Linked DNA regions of Bombyx mori. The protein of the gene in region 2 purifies or fractionates together with the protein of the main gene of each other region. This does not show direct contact. Links are inferred from orthologs where the notes say so. Each region holds a gene or a part of one and is shown on either strand. Other genes may lie near its edges.

The links.
Region 1: the proteins of pre-mRNA-processing factor 19 (region 2) and beta-catenin-like protein 1 purify together in Homo sapiens (affinity purification with mass spectrometry; 4 studies listed by BioGRID and IntAct, counting the BioPlex papers as one, with this or other methods). This does not show direct contact. The link is inferred for Bombyx mori from reciprocal best matches to the Homo sapiens genes PRPF19 and CTNNBL1.
Region 3: the proteins of pre-mRNA-processing factor 19 (region 2) and Rpa2 purify together in Homo sapiens (affinity purification with western blotting; 4 studies listed by BioGRID, with this or other methods). This does not show direct contact. The link is inferred for Bombyx mori from reciprocal best matches to the Homo sapiens genes PRPF19 and RPA2.

The regions. Positions count from the first base shown.
Region 1 is NC_085121.1:10,823,027-10,827,179, forward strand, and holds the start of beta-catenin-like protein 1, read left to right. Parts: upstream 1-1,288; 5' UTR 1,289-1,491; coding exon 1,492-1,521; intron 1,522-1,601; coding exon 1,602-1,796; intron 1,797-2,279; coding exon 2,280-2,426; intron 2,427-2,689; coding exon 2,690-2,821; intron 2,822-3,375; coding exon 3,376-3,535; intron 3,536-3,668; coding exon 3,669-3,760; intron 3,761-4,153. UniProt on the Homo sapiens protein: Component of the PRP19-CDC5L complex that forms an integral part of the spliceosome and is required for activating pre-mRNA splicing.
Region 2 is NC_085116.1:17,076,779-17,081,058, reverse strand, and holds the start of pre-mRNA-processing factor 19, read right to left. Parts: upstream 2,803-4,280; 5' UTR 2,794-2,802; coding exon 2,601-2,793; intron 2,355-2,600; coding exon 2,205-2,354; intron 1,714-2,204; coding exon 1,580-1,713; intron 1-1,579. UniProt on the Homo sapiens protein: Ubiquitin-protein ligase which is a core component of several complexes mainly involved pre-mRNA splicing and DNA repair. Required for pre-mRNA splicing as component of the spliceosome.
Region 3 is NC_085114.1:7,172,631-7,176,784, reverse strand, and holds the start of Rpa2 (replication protein A2), read right to left. Parts: upstream 2,814-4,154; 5' UTR 2,678-2,813; intron 2,043-2,677; 5' UTR 1,875-2,042; coding exon 1,865-1,874; intron 1,793-1,864; coding exon 1,722-1,792; intron 1,651-1,721; coding exon 1,429-1,650; intron 1,176-1,428; coding exon 990-1,175; intron 406-989; coding exon 200-405; intron 1-199. UniProt on the Homo sapiens protein: As part of the heterotrimeric replication protein A complex (RPA/RP-A), binds and stabilizes single-stranded DNA intermediates that form during DNA replication or upon DNA stress.

The DNA.
Region 1 (4,153 bases), on a different chromosome or scaffold from region 2:
TCGATTAGTTATAAAACCGTGTTTTAGAAACACGCTATTTCCTCCCGATACCCTCTCCGTGCTTTATAGCATTTCGAGCACCGGTCGACGTTCTTGTGGAAGAGTTCGAACGTACAACCCACAGACACTACCTAAGTTTCTTGGAAGATCTTCAGTTCTGCAGGCCGCGATTTCGATCCTGTGATCTTGTGATTTAGCAAAGCACCACTCTTTTTAGACTTGGTGTTAGAAATTCCATCAGGTCGAGAGTATGAGGAATGGGTCTGGGTCTATTTAGCTTTACTAAGATGTGCTCCGTGAGGCGGTACAGTCATTGGATGCACGGCTGTTAAGCACGGAATCTAATGACTGTACCTTTGCCTTTCGATGTGACGAAGTTCCAGAAGCGTTTCAAGCGAATCAAACGTTTATACAATTTGTCTATTGCTGGAAAGATGCTAATTGGATAGTAACTCGTGGGTTCGTTTAAAGTTTTTCTAGTTTTCGGGTATGCCGATAACCTCTGATCCATACCGTGAGACAGATTCAGCTCGCCATAGCGGCATTTAAAATGGAGAACACAATTATTAGTTGAATAGGTAAAAATTTTAATGTTGTGCAAGCTTTCGGATCTAGGAGCTGTCCGTGATTGCAAGTTTTTTAAGCTATTTATTATGGCATTACTGGTATTTTAAAGGGCTCACTAACCGAGAAAACCTTTATTTACACTTTATCTTTATCTCAATTACATTTTCCACCATTTTACTCAGAAGTTTATTGTAGCCTTTCTTGCCATATTCTTTCGAGTTTCATTTTTTCCTCAAAAGGCACATACATTTTTGCAGAAAGAGTTTAGTACTTTGCAAGAAATTCATCGTATCCCTTCACCTGTATAATTGGATAAAAAAAGAAATGGTGAAATAGTTGTGTAGGTACTATCTAGTATCTATTTTAGTGGTATCTTTTTTACTGGTGGTAGGACACTCTTGTGAGTCCGCACAGGTAGGTACCACCGCCCCGCCTATGTCTGCCGTGAAGCAGTAATGCGTTTCGGTTTGAAGGGTGGGGCAGCCGTTGTGACAATACTGAGACCTTAGAACTATATCTCAAGGTGTGTGGCGCATTTACGTTGTAGATGTCTATGGGCTCCAGTAACCACTTAATACCAGGTGGGCTGTGAGCACGTCCACACATGTAAGCAATAAAAAAAAAAACTATGCATAGCTCATAAATTTAAAAATTATCTTCCAAATAAGAAGATATGACCTAAAGGTCTCTTGTCACCAGGTCACAAAATTAAAAAAAAAATATCTATGGCATAATATTAAAACCATAGATTATACACTTAATATGATTAAAAACAACAAAAAAAAAACCTTTGAAACTAACCTTAAAAATAGGGACTTTTATGGACATTGAGAAGTTTGAATTAAAATATGAAAACTCAGGACAGTTAAAAATATCACCAATACGTAATAAGCCCAAAAATTACCTTTTCGCTTAAAACAAAAAATGGATGTTGCCGAGCTATTGACATTCAAAGTAATATTCTATATCATAACGGTGCAACAGTTTATTTAATTCAACAAAAAAACGAATAAACATAAATATTAACTTCGCAGCCTACGCCAACACCAAAACGGCCAAATGAAGATGAGAGCGATGAGGAGGATCAAGCCAAAAGTGCTAAAATTCGTCGTACCACCAAACTTAAACAGGAACCTGTACATTTGAGCAAGAATATGTTGAAGGAACCCTCGATTACTGATAAAGAACGAGAAGATATTCTTAAATTTGTTGCCACTGAAGTAACAGAGGTAATTATTGTATTATTTGTAAAATTAAGGAAGAATGAAACAAAAATTAATAGTTTTTAAACCATCCTGTATATTTTGCTGTCATCAAAGGTAGATTAGGCAATCCTGTTTTCAAATGGTCTTTGTCACTTATGGACATTAATGCTAATAGAAAAACCAAGCTAACCTCCGAAGTTGTCATTGTTCACACATAATTTAAAGAGGGACATGTAACAGATGAATTATAGAAATCCCAAATGAAAAGAGTTCATTTTATGTATTAATGCAATAAGTAGGAGTGAATACTCCTCGGGCCCTGAAAGATGCAACGGAATAAATAAGATCATACTCATGACAGACATACATAGAAAGGGCAAGATGAAAAGAAAATTAGTTTATTGAGTCAGAAGCTCTGAACAATTTTAATTCATAATCTGAAATACTTCTTAATGTTTATTCAATTAAGATAGTGATTATAAACTCATAAATGTATTGAATCTACAGGGAGAAGTACTAGATGAAACCACAGTGAAGAAACTAGTTCTCAATTTTGAAAAGAAAGCACTTAGAAATAGAGAGATGAGGATTAAATTTCCTGATCAGCCAGACAAGTTTATGGACAGTGAAATTGATTTACATGATGCATTACAGGTATAATATTGTGTTATGATATTCAGAAGAATCTGATACTAACTTCATTATCAGCCCTCAAGGCTTTGCGCAACCATCCTATTTCTGTTGCAATTTAGTTATGTGTTCTGTTCTGAAGTATTAAACAACTATTTCATAATATTATTGGAATTTTGGCTGCATTAGGCTCTTACATAATACTATTTTGGCTGCATCAGGTGGGCTATTCACTCATGTATGCCATTAAAAAATAAAAAAAATCATAAGAATTGTAATTATTACAGGATTTAAGTGCTGTCGCAACAGTACCAGACCAGTATCCTCTGCTTGTGGAATTAAAGTGTGTGAACTCATTATTAGAATTACTATCACATGATAATACTGATGTCTCCACCAAAGTTGTTCAACTGCTACAGGTATGTATATGCTTATAAATTTTGCAAAACAATATTGCTGGGCTCAGTATCCAGTGTAAGCATGACTAAGATAAAAAACTCATGTCTTCTTTCTTGCCTATTACCCTCTGCTGGATTGTAGGGCTCGGGCTTCTTTCTTTTGTATCAGTCTTGGGCAGTCTATGGGTTAAATAAACTCATGCAAATCATTTATTTGTGTTTCCAGATGTTGTGCGTCATTTTCAATGAAATTACATATTTATATGTGGCAATACTGATATAGAGTATATGACAGTTTCTGTCCGTAAAATGTAGGTTACAAGAAAGGGTTTAACCTTTTAAAAAATGGTCAAAAATAAAAACTGACCCAATTATTACTTCTATATCTTTTATCTCAAACAAACATCTATGTTATAATGCCAGGGGCAGAGCCAAACCACTGCCTACTGTACCAAAATAAATAATGATGACATTTCATGCAGTTATTGTCAATATTTAAAAAAAATATTTTGCCATAGTAATAAACTAGTAATAAAATTGTAATTCTGATAATATTTACAATTGATGTACCTCAGGAAATGACAGATGTTGACATACTCCATGAGAGTGAGGAAGGTGCGGAAGATTTAATAAATGCAATGGCTGAAGCTGAAGCACCTGCATTATTACTACACAACCTGACTCGATTGGATGAGCAGGTACCAGATGAACGAGACGCTGTCCATAATACACTGGGTATGTCAATATATCATATAAGAATTTCATTTTAACCATTTAACTACAAACTAATAAATATGATATGTTATGATAGAATGATAAATATATAATGGCAATAACTGAGATAATGAAATTTGTCTTATCGTTTAAGGTATTATTGAAAATATCACAGAATTCAGACCAGAGCTTTGTATTGAAGTAGCAAAACAAGGATTTTTACAGTGGATTCTAAAAAGACTGAAGGTAACCATACTAATTTTATTTAATTATAGCTAAAATTGAACCAAATCTAAGATGCTTTATCAAGCATGTCTGCCTTCAGTGCAGTCTTTTATCCTAGTGTGAAGAACTTCACAAAAATATTCCTAAATATATAACCAAGAAAGGAATGTACTCCAAATGAGAACCTTCTCTTCATCCAAAGCTCCTAGTCGGAGCCACAGTCAAATGTTCCGTGCAATAATTAGCATGCCGTACATAATGCATATAAATTAAATAATATTTTTTGTAAATAATGCTAACAGCATTTAGAGGAAAGTTTGTTCGTAAAAAAATATGTTTGAACTATCGAATTTGTAGACAACGCTCGCATATTGACCTTTACACAGTTTTATGTGCTCACAATAACCACTGAAG
Region 2 (4,280 bases):
ATACCAAAAGAGTGTAGATTTCAAAAGTTTAATACAAACACAAGAAATAAACTCAATTATTTGGATTCAACTAAAAATAGAAAAATGTGTACTTTAAAAATCAAACACAAAAAACTTTTAAGTATTTATAAACACTTGTCCAAAAATTCTAGTTCAAGGTCAAAGCGCGTGAAATTAAATTCAACGATGCAAATAGGCTATACTGCATTCAAGTTAGGGTCGAAAGTTGAAACTTCTTTCCTTAATTGTATCCTGCTGATACGCTAAGAATAATCTACAGACATATGGACTTAAATATAAGGTTTACAATTGTATGGATAATGCCTATTTCTGTTTCATTCATTACATGATATCCCTATCGCGCGCTCACTCACTCTGGCCGATTCGATACGAACCAAACGAATATTGCTGATATTAACGAATCGGTACGATATGCCGATGCGCATCACATCGAGCAATATCGTGTATCGGCTGATATCGAAATATAGATTTCGATTCACGAATCGGTCCGATATCGCGATATGGCGATGCGCATCACATCGAGCAATATCGTGTATCGGCTGATATCGATATATAGATTTCGTGCGGGGCGATATCGGATTCAACGATATTGCTGCGATATATAGATATTGAATCTATATACGATTTATATCACCCACTCCTACAATCAATAGTCATGACGGACATATAATAGGAGCTAAACCAATAAAGTAAAAATGAATTCTTCTCAGTCGTACACTTCTGGCACAGTGGTCGTGGTTACGTATGTCTTAATGTTTGGTTGCGGCTTTTGAGAGACTTCTCCATCTCTCTCTATTTGTGGTGGTACGTGTACATTTAGTAAGGAAACACTTCGTAGATGAATCAAGTCTGTTCACCTTGTGGATGATCGGCCGCGAGAGCGTTGCCGTCTACTTTTCCTTGAACCACTAAACATTCCAATGAGCTTTCATTACGAATGATATGTCCAAACATATAAAGGATTCGCAATTGCACATGAATAGGGATGTATTTTTTACTATATTGATTGGACAGACAAGATCACAGTTCGATTAAATTCCTGCTTTTGTACTCTATTCATTATAACATATATGTCGGCGCAACGTCACTGTTTAGTTAACTAAAAATAGTTGAAGTTGACTATATTCTTAATGTTACACATATCAACAACTGTTTAAGACGGTATTCAAGAGAATTCATAACTAAGCTACTCGCACTATTCTAGTATAAATAGGAGTGATTATTGTCGCACAAAACATTCCAGCTCAAGCTGTTGAACGAGGCAGAATTCTCTGCTCTTATCCTTGTACACTTGAAATTAAATAAATGGAATTCATTGGAAAAATGAATCTTAATTAGTGTCACTATGGAAGGCAATGATAACAATGAAGAAAATGGTGTCAGAAACGCTGACATCATCATTTTAAAAACCCCATGGAACCAGCCAATCTGTCATATACATAATATATTAATATGTAGGCAATAAGCATAATAGTTTAACTGGTAAACATAATTTATTGTTCTACAGCTTTGAAACACACACATGAGCTTTGTCATTTAAAAAATATTCATTACTAACTTGTCTAGCAGTCTGCAACTGCTGTCTCTGTGTGAAGGCATGTAACATCAGGGCGTCCCACTCATCTTGCATGCTTTTCAGTGTGGCAGGGATTGATGTGGCACTTGGAGGTTTTGGCTTTACTATAGGTGGTGCTATTTGAGAAATGAATTATTCATTACTATCTCTTGAGTTTTCATTGAGACAAGTTTTAGGCTTTGTTAAGCTGAAGTTTTGCTGTCTCATATGAATTATAAGATAGCATTATTACACTAATCTTCATAACATTATATTGTTTAAAAAAAATTGTGTGACTATTTCTTGCATGATGTATATAACTTGATCTTGCAATTTAGCTGCTTTGCTGAATATGAGTACACAAAGTGTGGCCTTGGGGCTATGATGACTACAAATGAATACAATCTTGTACTTATTATTCATTACTTAATCAGACATTTAAAGTACTTTAAGAGTTTTCGGTCTCACTATGCGGTCTCACTATGTTACAGAGTCTATCATACTCGTCAAAATTAATATCTTATGTATTGAAGTAGATAAGATATTGTTTAATTTATTATATAATTTAATAATTACTTCTTAACCTCTTAGAGGAATTTAAGCCATTTATGATTGAAAGGTTCCTCACTTTTGATCTCAATAAGGTCCTCAACTCTCAACTCCTTGCCGTTAATAGGATCCACGCCATTTTCTATTATGTACTTCTCAATGATTCTCCTTTCAAACACAGCTCCTGACGTAGGTGATACCACTGGTACTTCGGGAACTTCATTTGATACTAAATTAATAAATTAGGTTATTCACATAAACTGTTAATTTTCATAAAACTGTAATATTCATAAAAATAGCGAAATAAACCCTATGAAATGGAATAATGACTTCTAAAATACAAATATCAAAACTTTTGTCTAAAATTGATGAAAAACTTTAGTAGCCCGGCAGGTACGCATCCGTTCAAAATAAACATACTTTATACGTTTCGCTCCTTTAATTTACAATTTACTGAATTTAAACTAAAACTTACTCGCACAATAGAGAGACATTTTGCTTATGATATCACTATAAAGGTTTGAAAATTCTGCACGGAGCCGTAAAATTACATGGAACCAAACAAAACCATTCCAACTTTCGACTCTAGGCTTTTTGAGTTTTGTGACCGCCATAGATATTTTTTTATTTGATTCGACCGTTAGACAGGCAATGGGAATGAAGCTCATTCACCACTTGGTAAAAAAGGTTGAAGCCATATCTACTGTTTAAAAGTGAAATAGACCAAAACGAAGTTGAATAAAATAAAATAAAATTAAATGACATGAGACAAACTGTTGGACGGTTATATTTGAGGGGATTGGGTTCTGTAGGTGATGAGGGGCTATTTAAAAACACAACTGCTTCATTATAATTATATTGCAGATTGCTTGAACACTTTTACACCATTATACAATTATTATCTTTATATTTTTTACAAAACTATTACATGTTTGTCTTGCCGTGTCTAGATGAGAAGTCATGACATTTTCTTAGGAGAATACAATGATCTGTTTTTTAAACATTTAAAATCATTCTAATATTCGAAATCTAATCAAGTGTCAAGTGTTGCCTGCCATTACATTTAATATACAAACTCCAACACAAACCGTAAAAAATGAAATAAACTGTCCGTGAAATAGTAGATATTTATTGAGAATTTATAGAACTACTATTTAGAAGAATCTAACACAATACAACATCCACACAACAATTGTGTTAGATTTTCCGCCACTTAAGCTCCCTAGCAGATATTAAATTGTTAAGAAAAAAAATCTATCTGATGCTTTCGTTTATTATTTTAACTTCCCACAATATTCTAGGTTGTCCATTTCCAATAAAGCTAATTTTTTTATTAATTCAAGTTGCTGACATCCTTAACACATCTTATAAGCTCCTAAATGTAAAGAGGATTAGTTCTACACTCCATACCACTCATCCGTGGTTATCGCATCATCTCCTTTGAGGCGGCGTGTGTACTGGCTGGGACGCCACCTTGGGTTCTGGAAGCGGAGGCGCTCGCCGCTGACTATCAGTGGTGGGCTGACCTTCGTAACCGGGGCGTGGCGCGTCCCAGCCCCAATGTGGTCAGAGCGCGAAGGGCCCAATCTCGGCGGTCCGTGCTGGAGTCATGGTCCAGACGGCTGGCTGATCCTTCGGCTGGTCGTAGGGCCGTCGAGGCGATTCGTCCGGTCCTTGTGGATTGGGTGGATCGTGACAGAGGACGCCTCACTTTCCGGCTCACGCAGGTGCTCAGTGGGCATGGTTGCTTCGGTGAGTTCCTGCACTAGATCGGAGCCGGGCCGACGGCAGACTGCCACCATTGTGGTTGCGACTTGGACACGGCGGAGCACACGCTCGTTGCCTGCCCCACATGGAAGGGGTGGCGACGTGTCCTCGTCGCAAAAATAGGAAAAGACTTGTCGTTGCCGAGCGTTGTGGCATCGATGCTCGGCGACGACGAGTCTTAGAAGGCGATGCTCGACTTCTGCGAGTGCACCATCTGGCAGAAGGAGGCGGCGGGGCGCGTGAGAGACGCACAAGCCCGCCGCCGTCGAGCGGGGACCAGGGAGGCGGATCTGGCCAAATCCCTGGCCCTCTAAGTGTTTCGGGTCCCCCTCATATGTCGGTCTGGGGCCCGGCGAATGGGGTCTAAGAAAACAACGTACAAGCTGCT
Region 3 (4,154 bases), on a different chromosome or scaffold from region 2:
AATCTTTTTGTATGTGTGTTTGTCACTAAACTCCTAAGAAAAGGGGCTGATTGTGATGATTTATTTAAAATCTAACTGCTTTATTTTTTTCCTTTCAACTCTATTTTTAAGTTATCATTTACTATCAGTTATCAGTTATAATTTATTGGGGTAAAAATGTTTGAATTAAAATTTAGTATGTTGATTAAAAAATACATACTCAAATTCAACTTTTGTCATTCGATCTTTCAGTGAGGCATACATATCTTGTTTACTAATTCCTTGTTCAACAGTAGAGCCACGGATAAGGTTGAAGACCATCATCTGACGAGAATTTAAGCCATTCACTGAAGAGGTTTCAGTAATTCCAACCATTGAATTTGCAGGCAGCATGTTGTTAATTGGGACATCTTGAATATTTTTTTCCTGCAAAATAAAATCCAATTTATGAAGTAATGTATAGCAAAAAACATGTAGGCGGAAGCACCATTCATGATGGGACATAATAATCCACAGCAATGATGCAACTCAAATGCACTAGCAAGAGCTGAATGATAACTAAATTTGTAGTTCTGTCTTTATCAGAATAAAGGGTTCAAGTTTGAAAATAGTAGATTATTATTTTAAAATAAAACTGAAAAAAAGGAGAAGCATGTTGGATGTGCTGAAATTCATTTTATATGAAAATTGAAATGGTAAGTCATTGCTGATGAAGAAGACATCATTTACATTGCTGAAGAATCAATAACAAATAATACTATACTATGACATATTTTTATGTACTGTACTGTAATAAAAATATCTGACAATTATTATCAACTCTTTTTGTTACATACAAGAACTAAATATTTCAAATACAAAATTCATGTGTATTAAGCTAAATGTTGCTTAAACCAAATAGTCTTTAACCCCTCAAAATATTGTGTTATAAGTAGTTACTTCTGCCTTTAGCTATGGTGAATGGAAATGCGAATAATAAATTTTAAGATTACCAGGTATATTAGAATTACCTTCTTTGAGCCAGCTTCCATTTGTATTTTATTATGAATGCACTGAAAGTAGTGAAATGTAATAATGTTGACATCAGTAACTGGCATTATCTTAAATGCCATGAGCACTTTTGTCCCTTTATTCGTTTTCACATTGCCGTAAATTTGTATGTAATCATTTACTTGAACTTTAGGTGATGAGGTATCCTGAAATTGAAGCTCAGAAAGATTTAATATCTGTTTTTTTTTATGTAAAATACTCAATATCTAAAGAATCAAAATGGCATATACTTAAATATTCAAAAAGCACAGAATAAGTTTAATAACTTAATCTGACTTTGAGATTTTTTTATTTTTTTTATTACCATGATTGTGGACATGATTAATGGATTAACTCATTTTAATTAATGATTTCGTTTACATTGACATTACTCTGAAACTGGAAGTAACTTTCACTTACTTCAACTTCCATAGCCTCTTGGTCGAGCCAGAGTACAGCCCTCATCCTCCCTGTTATATCTTGGATTGTATATGTTATTTTAGTGCTTTGCATTCTAATGCTCCTGATTCTTGCAACTATTGACACTATTTGAATTTCTGTACCCCATATTTTCACACCTTCTTCTCCAGAATGCAAAGCTTGCCTGATGACTATAGGTGCTGTCCGTGCCGCTCTACGACCCTGTGAATAAATGTATTATTAATATATTAAATTTTCGTAATCAATTGAATTTTATTTTTTTGTAAACTTACAGTTTTTTTGGGTGTTGCCGTATTTCCAAATTGATTTGTGGTGTTAAGGAAGCCACCTCCAGAAGGATCATCTGAATGTAACAAATTCTAATTAATACAGAAAAAACTATAAAGATAACCATGTAAATGATAAAACAACAAACCATTCCACATTGTTTTAAAGTAGAGGTCAAAATTGTTAGTTGAAGACTATTCTAGTAACAGCAGTAGTACAATGCACTAAACAATTCCGAACCGATCTTAATAGAAAAGGTAGTATGGTTTAATTTTTTTAGTTTTGATTCTTATTCCTGTAAACTTTTTTCAAGCGAGTAAGCCACTATAGTCGGATTTTTAATTAGACGAAGCTAGCTGACAGTAGCTAATGTCACTTTGTGAAATAATGTTGCTATATTTAAAGTAATAGTGATGCGTTCAGTTCTCGTTCAATCACGAATGAACAATGAGTGTGAAGAGTTAATCATTAATTTCAAACTATAAAAGAGTACTATTTATATTTTACAATAAAATTGTATTAAAGTGCTCCAATATATGTTGCTAGTAGTATGTAACTACAATCAGCTTTTTTATTTTCATTACTTACCTATAATTGTTATATTTTATACATCTATAATTTCAACTATATGATGTATTGGAAATAGGACAGTCTTACAAGTACTTCCTCGCAATGTTTTTCTTAATGTTTAAAACACTCGGTATTCAGTACAGGTAGATATTATAGGAACATAATATTTCGTCGAAAACTCGTTGGTATGTACAAAGCACGCCTAAAATTCGAACCCCGTACCCGATATCGGCAATTCGGCACACCAACTGTTCACTAGACAATCGAGGCAATTTCATTAATTCAGGAGTTTTTTCAATCGTTCACTTTGTCACAACACTATTTTTATTTCATCAAAAACTGACAACACAGTAAACGTCAGTTGACTTCGTCTAATAAAAAATCCGACTATAGGTTCACATATTTTATCTTCCAAAAGATGATGATTTATTTTGTTTCAGTAACTTTTAACAGTTTTAACCAAAATGTCCCTTTGGAGTTTGGCCAGACAGAAGTCTCAATTAATTCCCGCCATTTTATAGATTTTTTTGAATTTGTTTAGTGGATAGGCGAAGGGAATCTAGCCGAGAATATAATAAATATTAAATATTCTTTAATTCACTATCTAACATATTCAATTACAAGTAACATTACAAGTACAAGTGATATTGTCTGAGAGTGTAAAGGCGCCATATGTGCCGCTCCCTGTATCTGGCCTCCAGTCACCTCCTTGAGTTGGTCCACCCATCTAGCTGGCGCTCTTCCTCTAGCGCGCTTTCCCTCTATTTGTCCGAGAATTATGAGTTTCTCCAGGCTGTGCAATGAGGATCGCATTATGTGCCCAAAAAAACTCCGGATCCATTCCTGGCACATAGTCAGCAGGCGCTTGGTGACCTTCAGCTCTTCGAGGATGGAGACATTGGTTCTCATAGCTGTCCAAGGAATGCGTAGCAGCTTTCTCCAGCAATACATTTCAAAGGCCTCGATCTTTTTGCGTTCCTTTTTCCTGAGACACCAAGTCTCCACCCCATACAGGAAGATAGAGAAGACCAACGTACGAACCAAACGCATCTTAGTTACTCGGCGAATATTACGGTCTTTCCAGATTTTATTGAGGCTAGTCATGGCACTTTTAGCCATCCCGATACGGCGTCCGATTTCTTTCTCGCAGTTACCACTGTTAGAGATCAGCGACCCCAAGTATATAAATTCCTCCACTTTCTCATAATCCTTGAGCGCATTTGATGGACTTAAAACTTGAGCTCTGTCCACCGTCATCGCTTTGGTCTTAGAGCGGTTTATGTGCAGGCCAAATTCAAGGCTAACTCTCTCTATTCGCTCCAAGATCGCAGCCATCTCGGACTCGCTGGCTGCAAGGATTGTTGTATCATCGGCATATCTTAGATAAGATACACCACTATTTTAACTAATGTCCCTAAGAATAATATCCACTGACCTTACTTACTTTCTATTAAGGCCAAAGGCTTTGTTTGGCTTTGTTAATGAGTTCTGCAGATGATAAAATGAGAATCATAAAAATATGGATTAAAACAAGATATTTAGACATTACCCAGCCATTACCATTATTATTATAATTTAAATAGGTGGCACTATAATTCATTTAAGACTCTCTAAGATGAACATTGAAAAATACCAAATTATGATTAAGATTTATTGAGTGGCAAATAAACTTAGGGCTCACCTGCCGGTCATCGTTCTCCGTCGAATCCGCTGCTTGCGCACTGCTCTTGCCAGGGTTAGTGTTAGCAACGTCATTATGTTTGAGCCCCGTGAGCTCACCTACTTGTTAGGGTTATGCTGAAATAGCCTCTCAAGACTATCAGCTTAGGTAGGAAAAAAAGCCTCACCTGAAAGTTTTTTTTAACATT